4 linked regions of the Saccharomyces cerevisiae S288C genome follow. The gene in region 4 interacts genetically with the main gene of each other region. Each region holds a gene or a part of one and is shown on either strand. Other genes may lie near its edges. The genes, in order: SHO1, STE11, SAC1 and SSK1.

Region 1 (5,485 bases), on a different chromosome or scaffold from region 4:
GAAGGTTATGCCAGCTATTGTTGTCCGTCAAGCTAAGTCTTGGAGAAGAAGAGACGGTGTCTTTTTGTACTTCGAGGACAATGCTGGTGTCATCGCTAATCCTAAGGGTGAAATGAAGGGTTCTGCCATTACTGGTCCAGTCGGTAAGGAATGTGCCGACTTATGGCCAAGAGTTGCTTCCAACTCTGGTGTTGTTGTTTAAATAAAATTTCCAAGAAAAATTCTTTTAAATCATTATGTAACCTTTTAAAATATTAATATAAACAATCCAAGTCAAGTCAATGACATGAGAGTGCATATATACATTGTTGGAGAATATTTCAGTGAAGCGGTTGCCTTTTTCTTTGTGAACATCCTAGAGTAAACATAATACATAAGAATGATTTTTCCTACAATTACAGAACTATATTCTTCAAAACATTACTGTAGAGGGTCATAAAGATAGGTTTCTTTATTTTTTTCCTTTGACTCGAGAATCCATGCTATAAGATTGTTAATCATTAACGATGCATTTCTTCTGGACCATCGATTAGTTGAACATAATTGCTTGGAATAATACCTGTTTCACCGTTTGCCCTTCTTGCCTTCCACCATCTGCCTTCAATGTCAGAGACTTGTAGGATTTCATTTTGTTCAAATGAGATTTCGTAAGCATCATCGTCATCAGCGTCGTATGGGTACAGTGCTTTTGCCTTGTAAATGAAATTATCATCACCGATATCGCTATACAGACCCAAAGTGTCTCCCATCGTAGTTTCCGTATTGCCATTTGAAAAATCAGTATCGAACGTATTACCTATATTAGTATTGGTTTGATTATTGCTATTATCATTGGTTTCCTTCGCGTTGCTTGCGCTATTGATACGTTGTTGTAGAGTGTTCAAGTGAAGATTAACGGCTTCTGAAGTATTTGGCTGAGTATTCTCAAAACCAGCCAATGCCGTAGAAGATACATAATTTGTGTGAGAAGGTTGCTGCTGTGGATATCCATCAAACTGTGTCGCGTAGCCTGAGTCTCGTATAGCATCATTATAGACATTATTTTGGTAAGGCGTTGTGTTCCTATTGCCTCTTCGACGAGCTCTATGAAGAGAATTCTCTAATGGCGAAGGCCTGATACCCTTAATGGAAAACGAATCAATCCATCTATTGGTTGGGGAAGCATTATCACCGCCGTAGTACAGAATCCAGATTAAATTTATGATGGAAAGTAAGATGACACCTGCTGAAGCAGCAGCTTTCTTGGGACCATCCGCATACACTAAATTCGTTGCACTGTTTGTATTATACACAAATGCCACTGCAATAGATGTGGTGATGAAGATTCTGTAATGATCGACTAAATCAAAACAATAGAACAGCATTAAAGAACAAATAATTAGAAATTGGTATACTATACCCCACCAAGTAAAACGTGGGAAGGATTCATTGGTGGATGCAGATGAGATGGAGCCCCCGATGGCGATGACCCACGATACAATTGCCAAAGAAATTGATGATATAGCGAAAGGATCGGCATAAAATTTTTTCATTTTAAAAGAATGGTCGGTAGCCATACGTGAAGGTTTACGAGGAGTTGGTCTTATCTTTGATGATATTGACATATTTTGAAAACGTGATTTTTGGTGTTTCTGAAAAGATGGCGTTGATCTATAATGTCCAATGTTGTTTTCAAATTATTGGGTTGGCTACTGTTAATAACACGCCCTTTCTTTTAGCGATTCTGTTGAGCAAAGAAAGCTGATATGATAGACAATGATACCTCACTGAAAACGAGGCTCAATGACTTTATTCGTGTTCCTGTGTTCTTTGCATATTTCAGCAATCGCTGAAATTTTTATAATACGTATGAAGCAAAAGCCCGACTCCGAAAGCTGTTGTGTGTAAATAGATTGAACGCGTTGGGAATGTAAAACGCGATTAAGAATTTCTGATTTAACGCAGGTGCTAGGTTATTAATAGTTTCTTACGCGGATATGTAGGTTCAAGGGTCTATGTACGTATGGAGGAATAGCAAAAAAAGAATGAGTATACTCTTGCTTATTTAGTTTAGCTTCAAAGCTGCGGTCAGGCAGGTGATCATGATTATTAGCCCCCAGATAAACAAGAGAAGACCTGTGTATTTGAAAATCTTTGTCGTCAATGGCACGGCTGTCTTGTGCTCAGTTCCTATAAGCTTGTAGCCAAAGAGCCCGGGCAGAATGAAAGAAATAGAAGTGGAGCCTGTGGCCCCAACAATGGCCAGTACACGGGCCAAGGAGGAAACCGAAATGGCGACAAGATATGATGCAACTAAAATGCTGCACGTTATAACAATAAAGCTCTTGCCTCTCAATGGAGTCTCCTTAGGCTGATAAATAGATTCTTCTTCAATTACCTCATTGAGGTCAAGGCTACTGTCGCGAATCAACGGAGAACTTTCGGTAGCAACAGTGGGTTCATCCGCCGATGTAGCACTTATACTTACATTTTCCTCGGCGAAGTGTTGCAAAATCTGATGGATTGAAGCTCTTGCAGGATGACACTGTAGTGGGAACGCCAGCATCACCAACAACACAATCGCTATTCTGCCGATGGTGCTCGAGACCGCTTGCGGGTACAGCATGATAATGTTTCCAATGATGTTGTCGCCGAATGTCAGGTATCCAGCACAGCCGATCGCAATATATAAGATGAGAGCCAAAGATATTGCTATCAGTGGAATCTTCATCACATGCTCGAACCGGCTTGACCTCTGCTCATTGATTATTGAAAACATATTGTGGTGACATGTGTAGGCAAAGACAAAAATTGGAAGAGTGTTTAGCACGTTCAAATCATGCGATTGTGGTGGCAGGAGGTAGGAGATCCGGCCTTTCAAGCGAAGAATCTCATCTGATGGTGCTACATAGTGCAACAACACCAAAACACACAAGTACGCTACAGAAGAGATGGCCACCATGGAAGCGTACCTCAACGAATTCAACTTCTTCAGAAAAGACAGCGGGGCCACGAAAAAAAGCATGATCAGTGAAATTTGCACGTTCCTGTTCAACAGCCAAGCATTTCTGGTCCACACAGACATTATTTGGGGCATCAGATCCCCAACTACAATCATATAAGAGACGCCCACACCAAAACACTTGATAGCGATCGCTAGGTCAAACACAATACCTAGATTTGGGTTAATCAACCGCGTCAGAGCACTGAACGAGGCCCTCCCCTGTGGTACGTATTTAGCTACACGAGCTTGTATGAACAAGCTTTGCATAGCGCACGCCCCACACAGCACTATCATTATCACTCCAGGAATTAATCCAAACGGCTTGAATGCGTACGGCATGGCCAGGATACCAGCACCGCACGCCGTGTGTAAAAGTGTCAGCACACCTGATCTAATACTAGCTACCATATGATGCACGATTCCTTTCTATGGTTATTGAGCTGTGAAACTAACCCGTCGTTCGACCATTGTTGTTCTATATACTTCTAGTTGCTGTATAGATAAGCTCTCCGATCCCCTAAACGTGCGTGGTGATCTTACTCTTTCGCCCTCGCTTTTTTTTTTTCGCTTGTTGTTTTCGCAAGGTGAATAGAATGGTTTTAGTAGCAAAGTGCATTGTTTATTGTGTGGTGTGGTTTGACGCACATTCTGTGTTAATAGTGTAGCAGAAGGGTATTCTACAATCTCCGCGAACCTAAGTATGTCTGCTGTTGAAATTTCCCCTGACGTGTTGGTGTATAAGTCTCCATTAACGGAGCAATCGACAGAATACGCTAGTATTTCCAACAATTCAGACCAAACCATTGCATTTAAGGTCAAGACCACAGCCCCAAAGTTTTACTGCGTGAGACCAAACGCCGCAGTTGTTGCTCCAGGTGAAACAATCCAGGTTCAAGTTATCTTCCTGGGTTTGACTGAAGAGCCTGCCGCAGACTTTAAGTGCCGTGACAAGTTCCTGGTTATCACGTTGCCTTCTCCTTACGACCTCAATGGCAAGGCTGTTGCAGATGTTTGGTCCGACTTGGAGGCTGAGTTCAAGCAACAGGCTATCTCTAAAAAGATAAAAGTCAAATATTTGATAAGTCCAGATGTACACCCAGCACAGAACCAAAATATACAGGAAAACAAGGAAACTGTTGAACCAGTAGTCCAAGACAGTGAGCCAAAGGAAGTGCCTGCTGTGGTAAACGAAAAGGAGGTCCCTGCTGAACCGGAAACTCAACCTCCCGTCCAAGTAAAGAAAGAAGAGGTCCCACCTGTCGTTCAGAAAACCGTTCCTCATGAAAATGAGAAGCAAACGTCCAACAGCACTCCGGCCCCACAGAACCAGATAAAGGAAGCCGCAACCGTACCTGCAGAAAATGAATCATCCAGCATGGGTATATTCATATTGGTTGCACTCCTTATCTTGGTTTTAGGATGGTTCTACAGATAATAGGGAGATTGAGGATATAGCTGTATTCTAAATATATATTTATATATGTGTGTGTTTTGCCCTTTCCTTCCTTTCAGTCTTTATTTTACTTTGTTTTTCTACAATCTTTTTTTATTGTTTCCTTCTGTAGCCTTTACAATACTAGAACAAGGAACTAAAAGATCATACTTTCCTAACTTTTTTATATGTTTTATTTTTTAAATAGGAGAATAATCGATAACTATACCACTGTTGTAACATATTACTTGTTTAATTTATTCATGTTCGGTTTCCCTAGTGTAGTAGGCGCTATCTTGGGCAAATAACTATCCGTTATTAACCATAACAATGCGGGGTCTACTAAATGAGGGGAGGGTCTTGGATGCACATTAACGAAGATCTTGCGAGGGGGTCGCGCCTAAAAGGTCCATAAATAAATGAATACATAAACAGCCACCTACTTTCAGTTTGTTTTTTGCTAGGTCTCATAGTGAACGAGGGACTCACATATTGACAATATAGTAACATGGGCTTATCGCGCTGGCACGACAAGAATTCAAGGCCAGCAGAGGAAAAGAGCGAAGAAATGCAACAGGATGCGCACTACTACGCCCTTGCGGCAAGTGATAGTTTAAATGCAAGTGTTTCTAACGAATATGGTAATCAAGTAATGAACTCGTTTTGGAAAGTGGGTATAGACTCTCCCTATGTGGACGATGAAGCAATTAGAAACAGAGATGTCGAAAATAACTTACCTTCTTTAAAGCAAAGTGTTTATAATGCTAATGAACCAAATGCTACCTCGTCTGCATTTTCAACCGCTTCATACGCACATGAAACTTTCGATTTTAGAAACCTTAAACTAAGATAAGGGGGGATGAAGAATAAGAATAAACGCACGTACAATGCATATACAACCGTTTCTATGTACCATAAATATAATTATCATATAATGAAAAATGAGAATAAAAAACAATGATAACAATGAAAAAAAAAAAATTCAATTAAAGAGAAAATTAAACTTATTTTCTTAAGTAGTCCCTTAAATAACTACCGAGTTTTTCAGCACCCTGTTCTACAACGTCTCT
Region 2 (4,554 bases), 690 kb from region 4:
CATTGTTCGAAAAAATCTGATAAATATAATTACCAACGCCAAACGTATTATCGTGTGTATCATGGGGACTAAACTTGAAAAGGGAATATGGTAGTACTGAAGCTATTTCGGATAACTGCCAGCGCGTTAAGCTTCCCTCGTCGTCGTGATTTCCCCATACCATTGCCCACGGAATTTTTCTTGCAATGACGGGTGCTACCGCCTTTAATAATACGGTTTCAGAGTCTTGAATAGATCTATCACCCATGATTTGGTCACCAGTAAAAACAACCAACTGCGGTTTTTCAATGTCAAGAACTTGTTGAACGAAAGTTTCCGTTTTTGGATCTGCCTTGCAAGCTTCATGCTTTGGATACTCATCGATACATTCAGACTCCCCCACACCCAAGTGGAGATCCGCCAACTGAACAATTTTGAACTTTCCTTCATCAGTTTCTTGCAGCCGTTGAGCTCCTGTGTCTACAGGACGAGTACCAACGAATTTGTAAGTCAAATAAGCAGGTTCGCTGTAGCGGTATTTTACTAAGGGAAATTCTTTTTGAAGAGTCCAATTTGCTATCGGCTGGATGCAATCAACACCAAAGAGAATGTTAATATCGCTTATGTAGCTCCTTTTCTGCAATAGTTCTATGCTAATAGGCTCGAATGTGATGGATACATCCATAAAGGGTAGCGATTTGTCTTTAGGATATTTGGAAATTCCAGTTACTGCCTCAACATTTAGCTTTTCTAGGTTGGATCCAAAGTAGTCCACCAAAGCAGGGTATAACACATCATAGTAAAGGTATTCTGACTTTCCAAACCACCTGCGTCCAAAGGAACCTCTCAAGTCTTTATGAATTCTTTTCCTTTGTAAGTATTGGTGCCCATCAGTTAAAGTTGATTTAAGTTCATGCCGATTAAAACATCCTTCATAAAAACGACCAATATGAAAACATTCGTCATAGCCTATATTTACAACTAGCTTATCGTCATTTGAGAATCCCTCTAGACCTTTATTTTGGAACCATAGATTATCAACGTGTGATATCGGGAGTGCAAGGTCGAAACCAATGTGCTCTTCAACTCTTGGCGCCTGTAGGAAGTAAAATAGGGCAATCACTACAAAAACTACCAAGTATAATAGGTACCTTTGATACAGCCTCGGTAACCGGATCATGTTAAGATTTTTAACCACGGTGCTGGTCTTCGATACTTAAGTATAAAACTTGTATCAGAGGTATCTGCGATCTAAAAAGATTAATTTTTGAAAAAGATCAACACTAAACCATTTGAAATTCAAAAAGCACCTAAGGCAAAATATAAATCTAAATATACGTAAAATGGAAACACTTTCTGCGCAGCTTTATACAAGTTAGCCTTCTAGCTTATGAAATAGAAATGAAATATAACTGAGCAAGTCCTATATACAATACTATTAATGATCTTCTTGTCCATGAGACTGTTCATGGTGCCTTTTAGAGACTTCTTCATCACTTATCTGAGGCCTGTGGCCACCCGTTCTCAATAAACCACCGGCAGTATCTTCAACTGGAAATCTTGCACTGGGTCTTACGCAATGGGGCTTGCGTAACTGTTCAAAATCCATGATTTTAGTTTTCCCTCCCCCTTTTAAAGTAATCTTTGGATTCTCGCCCAACTTTTCCTCCACTTCTTTTATATTTTGGGTGCGTTCTTTACTATTATTATTATTATTATTATTACTAACTGCCATTATAGTTTCTTTATGCTGTCCTCACCATGCCTTTCGTTATCAGGCTAGCATTAAAAGCCTTTTAAGGTGTAAAGCTTTCGCCGCGATGGCTTTAAACAGTAGAAAATATTCATATTTACACACATGCATAAAGAGAGACCACTTAATAAAGCTAGTATGATAAGATCACCGGTAGACGAAATATACATGGAACAGACACAAACAGCAGAGGGCACTGACTTACTAATTGGTGACGAAAAGACCAACGATTTACCTTTTGTGCAGTTATTTCTGGAGGAAATAGGATGCACTCAATACCTGGATAGCTTTATTCAGTGCAACCTTGTCACAGAAGAAGAAATTAAGTATCTCGACAAGGATATCCTCATTGCTTTGGGTGTAAACAAAATAGGAGACAGACTCAAAATTTTAAGGAAGTCAAAATCGTTCCAGAGAGATAAACGGATTGAACAGGTGAATAGATTGAAAAACCTGATGGAAAAAGTAAGCTCTCTATCCACTGCTACGCTATCGATGAATTCAGAATTGATTCCTGAAAAGCACTGTGTTATATTTATCTTAAACGATGGTTCCGCTAAGAAAGTTAATGTAAATGGTTGCTTTAATGCAGATTCTATTAAGAAAAGGCTAATCAGAAGATTGCCACATGAATTATTAGCCACAAACTCCAATGGAGAAGTAACTAAAATGGTCCAAGATTATGATGTGTTTGTCTTAGATTATACCAAGAACGTACTGCATTTGCTATATGACGTGGAATTAGTCACTATTTGCCACGCAAATGATCGTGTTGAGAAAAATAGGCTAATTTTTGTTTCCAAAGACCAAACACCAAGTGATAAAGCTATATCCACATCCAAAAAACTATATCTAAGAACGTTGAGTGCATTGAGCCAGGTTGGGCCATCCTCGTCAAATTTGTTGGCACAGAACAAGGGGATTTCGCATAACAATGCTGAAGGGAAACTCCGGATCGACAACACAGAAAAGGACAGAATTAGACAGATTTTTAATCAGAGGCCTCCTAGCGAATTTATTTCTACCAATTTGGCCGGATATTTTCCTCATACAGACATGAAGCGGTTGCAAAAGACGATGAGAGAGTCATTTCGCCATTCAGCAAGGCTAAGCATTGCTCAAAGAAGACCTTTAAGTGCAGAATCAAATAATATCGGTGACATACTATTGAAACACTCAAACGCTGTTGATATGGCCCTATTACAAGGATTAGATCAGACAAGATTAAGCAGTAAACTTGACACAACTAAAATTCCGAAGCTTGCCCATAAAAGGCCAGAAGATAATGATGCCATATCTAACCAGTTAGAACTATTAAGTGTAGAGTCTGGTGAAGAAGAAGATCACGATTTCTTTGGGGAGGACAGTGACATTGTTTCATTACCGACGAAAATTGCCACGCCCAAGAATTGGTTAAAAGGTGCTTGCATTGGATCAGGCAGTTTTGGGAGTGTTTACTTGGGCATGAATGCTCACACTGGTGAACTAATGGCAGTAAAGCAAGTGGAGATAAAAAATAATAACATTGGTGTTCCCACAGACAACAATAAACAAGCCAATTCTGATGAGAATAATGAGCAGGAGGAACAACAAGAGAAAATAGAAGATGTTGGGGCGGTAAGTCATCCAAAAACCAATCAAAATATTCACAGAAAGATGGTTGATGCTTTACAGCATGAAATGAATTTATTGAAGGAGTTACATCATGAGAACATTGTTACTTATTATGGTGCTTCTCAAGAAGGCGGAAATTTAAATATTTTTCTTGAATACGTTCCTGGGGGTTCGGTTTCCTCCATGCTGAATAATTACGGTCCATTTGAGGAATCACTGATTACTAATTTCACTAGGCAAATACTGATTGGGGTTGCGTATTTGCATAAGAAGAACATTATTCACAGAGATATCAAGGGTGCAAATATTTTGATTGATATCAAAGGTTGCGTAAAAATTACTGATTTTGGTATTTCAAAAAAATTATCACCTTTGAATAAAAAACAAAATAAGAGAGCTTCTTTGCAAGGTTCCGTATTCTGGATGTCACCAGAGGTGGTCAAACAGACCGCTACTACTGCTAAAGCGGATATATGGTCTACAGGATGTGTTGTCATTGAAATGTTTACCGGTAAGCATCCTTTCCCAGATTTTTCTCAAATGCAAGCGATCTTCAAAATAGGCACAAACACGACCCCCGAGATACCTTCCTGGGCTACGTCAGAAGGAAAGAATTTCTTAAGAAAGGCATTTGAGTTGGATTATCAATACAGGCCTAGTGCCCTTGAATTGCTGCAGCATCCATGGCTGGATGCACACATAATTTGAAAAAGGGCTACTTATTAATTCTTTTTATGGCACTAAAGTGCTCTGGCCGATTTTTTATCAAATAATACATATATATCATATTTAGTGACATTTATTGAATATATCTGCTATTTACCGGTTTTTTTTTTTCAATTACGCTGATTAAGTAATCATAAATCACAATTGTGAAAAAAAGACCAAACTAGATGACGGTATTTGATTCTCATACCCCTGGAATAAAATCAAGTAAGATAATTCTGATAAAAAAATCCGACCGCACAGATGGAAGCACGAAGAAACAGGCCTTTCTTTGCGAGGTGATATCAAACCATTGATATCTTCTCAATAACCTGCTCTAGGAAAAGGAGGTAGATAGACAAAAGCAAGGAAATAATCCATAGAGTTTCATTCACATGAATAATCTGTTACCAATTTTTCTCATAAGATAAAGCCATCTATCAAAAATGATATTGAAATATTTGAAAAATGCTTGTTTTTATGGGGACCACAATTCGCCTGTA
Region 3 (6,093 bases), on a different chromosome or scaffold from region 4:
CGCCTGGACCAGGCCACCCAAAGACAGATTCTGGCATTTCAAGAGACTGTATCCGGTACTTTACTGGGAAAATTCCTGTATTTGGAATCTGTATGGGCCAGCAATGCATGTTTGACGTATTTGGTGGTGAAGTTGCCTACGCTGGTGAGATTGTCCACGGTAAAACGTCCCCAATCTCTCACGACAACTGTGGAATTTTCAAGAACGTGCCGCAAGGTATTGCTGTGACAAGATACCATTCATTGGCCGGGACAGAATCGTCCCTACCATCCTGCTTGAAGGTTACTGCGAGTACCGAAAATGGAATTATCATGGGTGTAAGACACAAGAAGTACACTGTAGAAGGTGTGCAATTTCATCCGGAATCCATCTTGACCGAGGAAGGTCATCTGATGATCAGGAACATTTTAAACGTCAGTGGAGGCACTTGGGAGGAAAACAAATCATCTCCTTCAAATTCTATTTTGGACCGTATCTATGCTCGGCGTAAAATAGACGTCAATGAGCAGTCTAAAATCCCAGGTTTCACCTTTCAAGACTTACAATCTAACTATGATTTAGGTCTTGCCCCACCGTTACAGGATTTCTACACGGTGTTGTCATCATCCCATAAAAGAGCCGTTGTTCTTGCTGAAGTCAAGCGTGCCTCTCCATCGAAGGGACCCATTTGTTTAAAAGCTGTTGCTGCTGAACAGGCTCTCAAATACGCAGAGGCTGGTGCATCCGCAATTTCCGTATTGACCGAACCTCATTGGTTTCACGGTTCGTTACAGGATTTAGTAAATGTGAGGAAAATCCTAGATTTGAAATTTCCTCCCAAGGAGAGGCCTTGTGTTTTGAGAAAAGAATTTATTTTCAGCAAGTATCAAATACTAGAAGCAAGATTAGCTGGAGCTGACACTGTCCTTCTTATAGTCAAGATGCTATCTCAACCCTTATTGAAGGAACTGTACAGCTACAGTAAAGATTTGAACATGGAACCTCTCGTTGAGGTGAACTCCAAAGAGGAATTACAAAGGGCTCTAGAAATTGGTGCTAAAGTTGTAGGTGTCAATAATAGGGACCTGCATTCATTCAACGTAGACCTAAATACCACCAGTAACTTGGTAGAATCTATTCCAAAGGATGTTCTTCTAATTGCTCTATCGGGAATTACCACCAGGGACGATGCTGAAAAATACAAAAAAGAAGGTGTCCATGGATTTTTAGTGGGTGAAGCCCTAATGAAATCAACCGATGTGAAGAAGTTCATTCATGAATTATGCGAATAATTGAAACTTACACGGTACAATAGGGAAAAAAACTTAACGTTGTAAGGGCGAACGCCTTCATGTATAGTAGCCTATAGAAGATATATATATATATATATATATATATATATGACCATGAAAGATAAAGTAAAAAAGAAAATAAATAGCTTGTTCTTCCCTCTGGGGCCGGCGTTCATTTTTTTATTTTTTTATTTTTTAACTTACTTTTTTTCTCGTTTTTATCATATTTTCGGTTTTACGTTTTGGATTTACAATAATCATCATTTTATCACATATAGAACTCATTAATCTCTTTTTAAAGGATCCGGCTTGGAAAATTTAGGACTCTGTGCATATTTCAAACCTTTGAATTGTTGTTCTTTATCATGCGTTTGATGAACGACCAAGAACCCAACGTCTACTAACTTAGGCCAGTTGACAAACTGAATACCGTTCTTAAACATGAATTTGGTTGAAAGCGCCAAGACAATCGACGCACCTGCAAAATACAGCAAATTCTTACTGCTGGTAAATCTATCTTTAGGAAAAAATATCGTAGCACCTAAAACGGTCAAGGCTGCGCAAATGATCATTGGGATCAGCTGAATATACACTGGTCTTCTGTCGGGGAATGGCGACTTGATAGAAGCGGTATGTGGTCTAAATCCACCAAGGAATAAATCGTATGAATCCTGTCTTGGACCATCAGTCCAATTGTTCTGGTAATAACGTGATGCTGAATTCAAAAAATCGTTGAATGCACCTAGACGTGTACGCTTACCGGTTCTTGTGAAATCGGTCTTCAAAGCTCCAGTGCCCGAATATGCCACACTAACTGCATCTGCATTATCAGCCCATAAGTTTTGGTAAGAAGTTAACAATGGAGCGTTGTCTTCCCAAGTGCTTCCAGTAGCAACGACATCGGCACTTTCAAACTCCTTTTGCAAAACCCACTGGGCTAAAACAGATTGAACGACATTTGTTCTGTCCAAACAATCCATACAGTTTGTTCTTACAACGGAATGTTGCTCATTAACAATTTCAACGGTGTTACCATTAGAGTCTATGACCTTGTGGAAGAAATCTTCGTTAGATAAACCTAATTTCTCCAGGTGATCAATTAACAATTTCACTCTATGCCATTGCATCTTACGACATTCATGGTGGAAGTCAAAATACACGTAGTGAATCTTCGGATCGTTTAGCGCGTGCACGACTGATTCATAGCCCTCTTTCACGGGTAGTTCGTGGCCCTTTTGGTTGACTAGGTTAACCAAGTAGTTGTCGCCATATAACTCCTTTTGCTGGTCAAAATGCTTTTTTGTCGCATCTAATGAGTTTTCTCCAAGAACAAGATTTGGCTTGTACTTCAAGTTGTTGATTTCAGCCCAGTATATTGGCACAGATCCTCTTGTCTGTAAGAAGGAGAAAACGTGTATTTTTTCACTCTCTGGATTCTCAGCGAGTAAAATTTGCTCAGTTTCATTGAAATTGCCAACGTTACCGTCTTTGTCAACACCACGACGGAAGTATCTTGTGCCCGCCCTAAATATACTACGTCTGGTAATCAAACCAAGAACGATAGGGGTGGCATTCAAAACGGCGTCCACTGTCTTGGCATACCCATAGATAACAGGTTGTATAAAGGAGTCAATTCTAGGATCTTGATGAGCAAAGTTTCTCAAATCTTCAGTTAAGTAATGGTTCCAAAAGAATCGTTCATCAGCGGTTTTCCAGGAGGCTGCAGGACCAACCTTTTCATTTCTTTGTAAGGAATTTGTTAAATCATATGTGTATGAAAAATAAAAGGTGGAATTTTTCAAATGCAACTCCAGTAGCTTGATATATTCGGCTTCTTCAGAATCGATTCTCGAGTTAAACTTGGTAGATACGATAGAATGTTGCAACACTCTATAGAAAACGTGGCCATTGAATCTACCGGTCTCTTCCACAGTATTTGCGATAATGGCATACCTGTTCAACTTTAGCTTAATGAACCCCATCAAGGACGCAATCTTTACTACTTCACCTTGCACAGGAAATTCCTCTGCTCCAAGGACCCGAACACCTTGATCTTGATTGGCCAAGTGAATAACAGCATCGTTAGTTCCTTTGCCCTCAGCAAGCTTGAAGAAGATACCGTCCGCATTTTGAACGTACACTATTGGACCTGTCATATCTAGACGAGAAAATATACGTGTATATAAATATTATCGTTACTGTTATAGGGATATGGTTTCTAATCCTTTCTCCTATTTCCTTATCTAAACCTGTGGTATTTTTCCCTTGCCTTTTCAACTTCAATAAGCTGGAATTAAATTTGTAGTGTGGGTAAGCAGTAGTGCAGCAATGCGTGCGTGTGCAAGCTCTTGAATATTGAAGGTCTACAGGTTACTAAAACAATAGGAGCGAGGCTTGGACGTCGAGAAAGTTGCTGACCTTGGCATTTCCTTTGCGAGTTTTTCAAAATTTTTCACACTCGTTCAGGACCACGAAAAATAAATCATATGAGATTTTAGTACGCTGATAATAAGGGAAGGCCACTGTCTTGGCTTATTTTATATATATATATTCATGTGTGATAGTAAGGTGTAGAGCAGCAGATTTGGAGTATGGGATATCAATTGAGTGCAACACTTAAAGGGCACGATCAGGACGTCAGGGATGTGGTAGCTGTGGATGATTCAAAGGTTGCTAGTGTTTCGAGGGATGGAACAGTTCGCTTGTGGTCTAAAGATGACCAATGGCTCGGTACGGTAGTTTATACAGGACAAGGATTTTTAAATAGTGTGTGTTATGATTCCGAGAAGGAGTTGTTGCTTTTTGGAGGTAAGGATACTATGATCAACGGTGTGCCCTTGTTTGCCACCTCAGGAGAGGATCCCTTGTATACCTTGATTGGCCACCAAGGGAACGTTTGTAGTTTATCCTTCCAAGATGGTGTTGTGATAAGCGGTAGTTGGGACAAAACCGCAAAGGTTTGGAAAGAAGGATCGTTGGTTTACAATTTGCAAGCACACAATGCCTCTGTATGGGATGCCAAAGTCGTATCCTTCTCAGAAAATAAATTCTTGACAGCTTCCGCCGATAAGACGATTAAACTGTGGCAAAACGATAAAGTGATCAAAACTTTCAGTGGGATTCACAATGATGTAGTAAGACATTTAGCTGTGGTGGATGATGGCCATTTTATCAGTTGTTCAAACGATGGCCTCATCAAGTTGGTTGATATGCATACAGGTGACGTACTAAGAACATATGAAGGCCATGAAAGCTTTGTTTATTGCATTAAACTGCTGCCCAATGGAGATATTGTAAGCTGCGGCGAAGACCGAACAGTCCGTATATGGTCAAAGGAAAATGGTTCGTTAAAGCAGGTAATTACACTTCCTGCCATCTCTATTTGGTCCGTTGATTGTATGTCTAATGGTGATATTATTGTGGGAAGTAGTGATAATCTTGTGAGAATATTTTCGCAAGAGAAGTCAAGATGGGCTTCCGAGGATGAAATAAATGAACTATCTACGCAAGTGGAAAAATCCACTATAAGTTCCAAGACAATAGAATTTGATGAGTCTAAACTATCACCTTATGAAATTTTACAATCGCCGGGGCGCAAAGAGGGTCAAATTGTGGTAGTCAAATCACCTCAAGGTACTATAGAAGCTCATCAATTTTCAAATTCTTCATGGAAAAAGGTTGGTGATGTTGTCGGTGCAGGTGCTACTGGAAACGACAAAAAAATAGAATTCGAGGGTAAAACGTATGACTACGTATTTGATGTGGATATTGAAGATGGAAAACCTCCCTTGAAATTGCCGATTAATGTCAGCGACAACCCATATACAGCAGCCGACAATTTTTTGGCTCGTTATGAACTGCCAATGAGTTATAGGGATCAAGTAGTACAGTTCATACTGAAGAACACTAATGGCATATCGCTAGACCAGCCCAACGATAATGCATCATCTTCTGCAGTATCACCTTCAAAAACGAGCGTAATGAAGGTTCTTCCTGTCAAGCAGTATCTTATCATGGAAAATTATAACCCAGATACTATTTTCAATGGAATAGTAAAAATAAATTCAAATGAGAAGACCTTTGATGATGAAATTCTGGCGCAAATTGGTGGCGCACTACATGACATAGATGAAAGCTGGGAGTTGCTACTTTCATTTGCTAACACTATAAGATCTAACTGGGAAATTAAGACTCCTGCATACGACATAGTACGATTGATTGTAAAAAAATTACCTTATTCTTCAGATATAAAAGATTACATCGAAGAAGGCTTGGGCAATAAGAATATCACTCTAACCATGTTAACTGTGCGTATTTTGGTAAATTGCTTCAATAATGAAAACTGGGGTGTGAAATTACTGGAATCAAATCAAGTTTATAAATCAATTTTTGAGACTATAGATACTGAATTTTCTCAGGCATCTGCTAAACAGTCACAGAATTTGGCTATTGCAGTTTCCACACTAATTTTCAACTATTCAGCTCTCGTCACGAAAGGGAACTCTGATTTAGAACTTTTGCCTATCGTAGCTGACGCCATCAACACCAAGTATGGGCCATTGGAAGAGTATCAAGAATGCGAAGAAGCCGCATATAGGCTAACCGTAGCTTACGGAAATTTGGCTACTGTTGAACCTACATTAAGACAATTTGCCAACTCCGTAACTTGGCTTGCAAACATCAAAAGGAGCTATGGGAACGTGCCAAGGTTTAAGGATATTTTCGACGATCTCTCCTAATACTTTTACAGCAATCATATAAAACACATAATGTCTAGATAGCAAATAATCTTTAAAATTCTTTCTGCCCTATTGAAAATTAT
Region 4 (6,520 bases):
ATAGGGATAAACATGTGCAGCGTAAGAAGAAGAAAAGGCTCTCGAATAGAAACCTGCAAGGTTCAAATGGTGGGTACGCTTGGGAGGATGAGATCAAGAGAAGTTGGGATTTGGTGAAAGTGGACGATGAAGGGGATATGGCATCTCTTGTGGCTAGCATAGTCGAGGCCAGAAAGAAACGTACTGCTAAGAAAAACATAACGCCATACCAAAGAGGTATTATCAGAAGTTTAATATTAACACTAGATTGTAGTGAAGCTATGTTGGAAAAGGATTTGAGACCAAACAGGCATGCCATGATTATCCAGTACGCCATAGATTTTGTCCATGAATTTTTCGACCAAAATCCGATATCTCAAATGGGTATTATCATAATGAGAAACGGTTTGGCACAACTGGTCAGCCAAGTTAGCGGAAACCCGCAGGATCACATTGATGCGTTGAAATCCATCAGGAAACAAGAACCGAAAGGAAACCCTTCATTGCAAAATGCATTGGAAATGGCAAGAGGCCTTTTATTGCCTGTTCCTGCGCATTGTACAAGGGAAGTACTGATTGTATTTGGTAGTCTTTCCACAACTGATCCTGGAGATATTCACCAAACTATCGATTCGTTAGTTTCTGAGAAAATTAGAGTGAAGGTTTTGGGGTTATCAGCTCAAGTGGCCATATGTAAAGAATTATGCAAGGCAACGAATTATGGTGATGAATCCTTCTATAAAATTTTACTCGATGAAACTCACTTAAAGGAGCTATTTAACGAGGCTGTTACCCCTTTACCCGTTAACAAAATTAATAAGGGTTTCACACTCGTAAAGATGGGGTTTCCGACAAGGATATTCGAAGATACTCCAACTTTTTGTTCGTGCCATTCCAAGTTAGTTTACGGCGGATACTTCTGTCCCAATTGTCATAGTAAAGTTTGTTCATTGCCCACAGTCTGTCCATGTTGTGACTTGATGCTAATCCTTTCTACCCACCTGGCCAGATCATATCACCATCTGATGCCGTTAAAAACATTTGCAGAAGTACCTACAACAGAAAAATTTCGATCAGAAGACTGCTTTAGTTGCCAGTCAAGATTTCCCATACTGAAAAACCATAAAAATGGTAAACTACTGACAAGTTCTCGCTATCGTTGTGAAGATTGTAAACAAGAATTTTGTGTTGACTGCGATGTGTTCATCCATGAAATCCTTCATAACTGCCCAGGCTGTGAATCCAAGCCCGTAATAACTTAACGAAAATCTGTCAGCGTATAACACGATCACTCTTCCATCATATAACAAATCCAAGTAGTAGAGAACGAAATAGTTTTTGATGGACATATAACTACATAATTATTACAAAAATAACCTCATTTAATGTCCTATTGTTTATTACGAGAAAATCTTAATAGCACTTACGGCATTAAGAATATTTATTACTATTTTCAATTTATCAGGCACTTATTCAACTAAAAAAAAAAAAAAAATTCTTTGTTTTACAATAATATTAATAATTATTTTGAATAAATATCGTTACATTCTATCATAATGTCCTCTACACGGTACAACCAAACTCACAATTCTATTTGAGTGGGCGAGAGGTTTGAATTTTTTCTTACTGGGCTGTGTGTAGGGGTCATAGATGTCGCTTGTTTGAATGAGTGAGGGTTGGAAGGTGCAATAGGTTTCTGTGGAGATTTAACCAAAACACTGTCGGTCATCCGGCTTTCTCCCTGCTTCCAGCTGTCAAAATCAATCAAGGCTTGCATACATCCCCACTCTGTAATTTTCTTACTAAGCCAGTGTAAATTCACTGGTTTAGTCAGGTAGTCGTTACAACCAGAAAGAAGTGCTTTTCTTTTATCCATCTGAGAGTTAGATGCGGTCAATGCTACAATAATCACGGGCGCCTGAGAGAATCTCTTTGAAGTACCTTTTTCAAGATTGGAGTGTGAGTTATTGAGACTTTTTTGAATGCCAATGCCATTTTGTTTTTCGAAGTCCCTAATCTGCTTGGCAGCTTCTATACCAGACAAGACAGGCAGCTGTAAATCCATAAATATTAAATGAAGACCGCCTTCCTTCCAAATATTAACAGCTTCTTGACCATTTTTAGCCAGTTTATATGAGATTTTGTGTTTCCTCAGAAAGGAACCTAAGATAGCTTGGTTGATGACGTTGTCTTCAACTATTAAAACATTAATTTTGGGGAAAACTTTTTCACTTGTGGTGGTAAAAAGGTTTGGTAAAGGATCTGGTGGAGAGGAAACAGCAAAAGGTGCGTTATAAAGCGAGTTTGAGTAATGCGGCGTTTGACTACTTGTTAATATTGGTGATGCGGGCGTAACGTCTTCTTTTCTTCTTTGTACTTCCGACATGGGTTGCGTTATGCCTATACCAGCTTCATTAAGTGATCCGCTTTCTTGCGAAGGGGATCCGGTGTTCACTTCTAACTCTGAATGAGTAATTGTGTCTTCATTATTGAAAGATGAATCCGTGTGGGCCACTGGTTTATTTCGAAAATCTACCCCTCCTTTATAACCTTTTGGTAACAGCAAGATTGCTTGCCAAGGAGACTCGGCATCCTTTTCCTCATCCTTCAGTTCTTGTGACGCTCTTCTCAATTGCTCTTCATCAGTTATTAATTTAAATTCCTGAGGGCTGCTATTGCCATCTTTACCTTTAAGATCTGCTTTATCACCAATTGTTTGCTTAAGACCTTGTTCGCCCGGAGAAATATGGTCGTCTAGATGAAAAACACCAACGGCCCCATGGTCTGTTGGTTGAGTTTTCTGCTGCGAAATTTCTTCATTCGTAGGAACATAGTCTACAACATTTAAGATATCTAAAGGCGGTACATCCTGGCGTAAATTAACATTCGAAAATATCAGCAAAGGCTGCGATGCAGGTTGGGAACCCATGGTTCCGAATAGTTCCTTATATATGTTAATAGCCAATTCATCCGGTTCAAAGATGATTTTATAAGTGCAATCATTAACTGATTCTGTGGTAAAATTTAAACCTTTTCTAATCAACGGCCTTGTGTATTTATTTTTATTATGCGGTGAGACGTATGTAAGACCAGCTGATGCCATAATTTGATTATCAGAATGAAATTTAGGGTAGGGTGAGACTGAGGCAAATCGCAGTAACGGACTTTTAGTTGTTGCTGGAAACTGTTTAGGACTAGTAGAGTATGGTCTTTGCGGGCTTAGCATTGGCGCCTCGTTGGGAGGAAAATCCACATTGGTAGTCGCGGCCACTGTCGGCACGGCGGCAAAGGCGTCGTATAATGCTCCTCTTTTCTGCGTAGGTTTAGGATGCTGGAGAACATTCCTGTCCTTTGCAAGGTCTTTTGAAAGACCAAATGATCCTGCTGTGGGGCTCACTGAACTCTTGGTATTGCTATTAACGGAAAGGTTGGCGCCACTTCCAGCACCGTTACTCTTACTTCGACAACTATTATCGTTAGTGTTGTTACTACTGGTATTGTCGGCTTGATTGTCAAATTTAGGTGCGTAGAGGCCTATTGCAATGGAAGCATTATCGTTAATTTCTCGCCATCGAGTCGAACTCAGTTTCTGAAAAAACCTGCTCTTCAAATCATCAACAGTATCTATTTCATCGAACTGTACAGCAATTGGTTGGTTTACTTCATCAGTGGAGTTGTCTATTCGTAGCCAAACCTTCCACAGTAACGCAGAATTGAGCATTTTTACTTGTCTCCCCAAAATCGATTCGTTTTTGATTTACAGCAGCCTTTCCAATATTTCTTATACAAAACGGCCGAACTTGTACTCAAAATAAACGCTATTCTGAGGTCTAAAACTAACAAAACACGTAATTTTTCTGAATAAAACAATGTCTCCAACTAGTTAACCACAGCTTGGCTAGTTTCAATGTAGTCATTCCTAACAAAAAGGCAACCAGACCTATTTATAAATATATAGCCACTATTAAATTCACTAGAAAAAAAGTCAAAGATTCAATCCAGGGGCGCTTTTAGGGCTTCGGAAAGCTGAAAAAAATAGTTAGGACACTGATATCAATAATATAGGGAATTTGAATTATTGGAAAATGGAAATTAGGTTAAGGGATACCAAAAAAAGAAACGCGATAATTATAGGCATGGAGATGAGAATAATAACTATATATGTATGCGGTTCGGTACATATTCATTGCTGACTGAAGTCTGATAGTAGTCGTGGCGAATGGAGGTACATGAAGAGCAGGTCTCTGCACCTGTAACAGGGGATGCTACAGCAAAATATCTGCTGCAATATATCTTGTCAGCAAGAGGCATTTGCCATGAAAATGCTCTCATTCTAGCCCTAATGAGATTGGAAACCGATGCTTCAACGCTTAACACTGAATGGTCGATCCAGCAGTGGGTCGACAAGCTAAATGATTATATAAACGCTATAAACGTAAAACTGAACCTTTTGGGTTACAAGATCATTCGGATCAACCACGGGATTGGTAGAAACGCAGTGACTTTAAAGGCCAAGCAGAATTTTGAGTCCTTCGAAGATAATACAGCAATAAGGGCTCACAATAATGATTATGCAGTTTTGCAATCGATAGTACTTCCGGAGAGTAACAGGTTTTTCGTATATGTTAACTTAGCATCAACAGAAGAGACTAAGTTAGCCACAAGGTTTAACCAAAACGAGATCGAGTTTATGAAATGGGCCATAGAACAATTCATGATCAGTGGAGAGACTATCGTTGAAGGGCCTGCACTGGAAACCTCGATAATTGTGAAGGAAGTCAACCGTATTCTAGTAGCAGCTACAGGAGACTCAAACCTCGCGAAATGGCGTAAGTTCAGTACGTTTACTGTAGGGTCCACCAATCTTTTCCAATTTCAAGAATTAACAGCAACGGACATCGAAGACTTACTACTCCGATTATGCGAACTGAAATGGTTTTACAGGACTCAGGAAGGGAAATTCGGTATTGATCTTCGCTGTATAGCAGAACTAGAAGAGTATCTAACATCCATGTACAATTTGAACACTTGCCAAAATTGCCACAAGCTGGCAATTCAAGGTGTCAGGTGCGGCAACGAATCATGCCGAGAAGAGAATGAGGAAACTGGAGAGAATAGTCTGTCTCAAATTTGGCATGTTGATTGTTTCAAGCATTATATTACCCATGTAAGCAAGAATTGTGATCGTTGCGGTTCATCGCTAATCACAGAGGGCGTATACGTTATTTAAACTAAAATACATAGCTTTCCGTGTTATTTACAAGACTTATCTATACAAACATTTGATTGCCCGAAGTATTTTAATCTCCTAAACGGCATGTGATTGAACACGGTTCGAGGTTTATACCACTTGTATTAGGCATATATGCAATTGCAATAACTCATTTTAGGTTCCCGTTTTACCTTATTTGCTAATACCCCTTTTTTCCAAAAAGTCCTTAGCTTCGTTTATCTTAGTGGCCAAAAATGGAGAACCACCTTTGTCAGGATGATTAGCTAACATAATTTTCCTATGAACCTCTTTCAACTTTTTTTTAGTCAATGTATTTTCTGTCAAATTCAAAATCTGTAGAGCCTCTTTAGAATTCATTTTCGGGTCAAATCCGCCTTTCAAGAAGGCAGTAGTGGATTTTCCACCGTTAAGTCCCTTCGATATTGATTTATATGCACCGGCTGTAAAATATAAAGTTAAAAAGGCCCCAAAACCTGTTATCACAGGATGTTCTCCCATGTAGTTCAAAGCTTGATCAAAATAAAGGTCCATTCCGGTCTTTTGACCCTGCGAACCATTCTGGATACCGACATTAACACCAGCTCCATCAACAGTAACGTTCGCAGAGCCATTAGTTTGACCAGGAATGGGTAGTTGTGGTGCCTCAATAGAATTACCAGTATTACTTTGAGAACTCATGATATTGTGCGGGTGGAAGTGTTTATGCAACCTTATTAAACTGTGCTCGGCCAGTGGAGACGTACAAATTCCACTACTATTCGTACTTTGTCTAGTTCAAGGGTCTCCGTCGAGTGAGTCCTACGTTGATTCAAATGGCTTTCACATTTGGTCCGATTCTCGCTCTTTAAATTTTTTGCCCGCTCGCCTCGAACTCAGCGGAGTGAAAAATTTTCACTCGTCTTTTATTAAATAATGTATTTCTAAACTCATCTCATCTCATCCCACCCTATCTCCAACTTACATCAGTTTCTATCTTGATCCGTGATATACCACTTTTAAGTTCTTCGACTTGTGATTTGAAAGATATTGCTATTCAAGCGTGAGTTGTCCATATTGTTACCACCACCTCCCCGTGATTTACATTCAGAAACTAAAAGGAAAAGGAAGTAGAAGTTTAGTAAGTATAAAAAAATGAGAATTTATCAATGCCATTTTTGCTCATCCCCATGTTATCCAGGTCATGGGATCATGTTTGTGCGTAACGATGCTAAAGAGTTTAGGTTCTGCCGTTCTAAGTGTCACAAGGCATTCAAGCAACGTCGTAACCCAAGAAAACTAAAATGGACCAAAGCTTTCAGAAAGGCTGCC

The links.
Region 1: mutations in SSK1 (region 4) and SHO1 impair growth when combined (synthetic growth defect), as found in Saccharomyces cerevisiae (7 studies listed by BioGRID, with this or other methods).
Region 2: mutations in SSK1 (region 4) and STE11 impair growth when combined (synthetic growth defect), as found in Saccharomyces cerevisiae (7 studies listed by BioGRID, with this or other methods).
Region 3: mutations in SSK1 (region 4) and SAC1 together harm fitness more than expected from each alone (negative genetic interaction), as found in Saccharomyces cerevisiae (3 studies listed by BioGRID, with this or other methods).

Annotation. Positions count from the first base shown.
Region 1 is NC_001137.3:397,452-402,936, forward strand, and holds SHO1 (osmosensor SHO1), read right to left. Parts: upstream 1,605-5,485; coding exon 501-1,604; downstream 1-500. Other genes in the region: 60S ribosomal protein uL14 RPL23B, read left to right, coding at 1-202; AVT6 (aspartate/glutamate transporter), read right to left, coding at 2,045-3,391; phosphatidylinositol-binding protein SCS2, read left to right, coding at 3,684-4,418; YER121W (uncharacterized protein), read left to right, coding at 4,924-5,268; GLO3 (ADP-ribosylation factor GTPase-activating protein), read right to left, coding at 5,420-5,485. UniProt on the Saccharomyces cerevisiae protein: Plasma membrane osmosensor that activates the high osmolarity glycerol (HOG) MAPK signaling pathway in response to high osmolarity.
Region 2 is NC_001144.5:847,966-852,519, forward strand, and holds STE11 (mitogen-activated protein kinase kinase kinase STE11), read left to right. Parts: upstream 1-1,900; coding exon 1,901-4,054; downstream 4,055-4,554. Other genes in the region: DCR2 (phosphoprotein phosphatase), read right to left, coding at 1-1,159; YLR361C-A (uncharacterized protein), read right to left, coding at 1,418-1,714; NMD4 (Nmd4p), read right to left, coding at 4,530-4,554. UniProt on the Saccharomyces cerevisiae protein: Serine/threonine protein kinase required for cell-type-specific transcription and signal transduction in yeast. It is thought that it phosphorylates the STE7 protein kinase which itself, phosphorylates the FUS3 and or KSS1 kinases.
Region 3 is NC_001143.9:31,877-37,969, reverse strand, and holds SAC1 (phosphatidylinositol-3-phosphatase SAC1), read right to left. Parts: upstream 3,428-6,093; coding exon 1,556-3,427; downstream 1-1,555. Other genes in the region: TRP3 (bifunctional anthranilate synthase/indole-3-glycerol-phosphate synthase), read left to right, coding at 1-1,271; DOA1 (Doa1p), read left to right, coding at 3,863-6,010. UniProt on the Saccharomyces cerevisiae protein: Phosphoinositide phosphatase which catalyzes the hydrolysis of phosphatidylinositol 3-phosphate (PtdIns(3)P) and phosphatidylinositol 4-phosphate (PtdIns(4)P). Has low activity towards phosphatidylinositol-3,5-bisphosphate (PtdIns(3,5)P2).
Region 4 is NC_001144.5:160,194-166,713, forward strand, and holds SSK1 (mitogen-activated protein kinase kinase kinase SSK1), read right to left. Parts: upstream 3,701-6,520; coding exon 1,562-3,700; downstream 1-1,561. Other genes in the region: TFIIH/NER complex subunit SSL1, read left to right, coding at 1-1,241; Smc5-Smc6 complex subunit NSE1, read left to right, coding at 4,199-5,209; PAM18 (Pam18p), read right to left, coding at 5,384-5,890; RLP24 (ATPase-activating ribosome biosynthesis protein), read left to right, coding at 6,344-6,520. UniProt on the Saccharomyces cerevisiae protein: Final receptor of the SLN1-YPD1-SSK1 two-component regulatory system, which controls activity of the HOG1 pathway in response to changes in the osmolarity of the extracellular environment.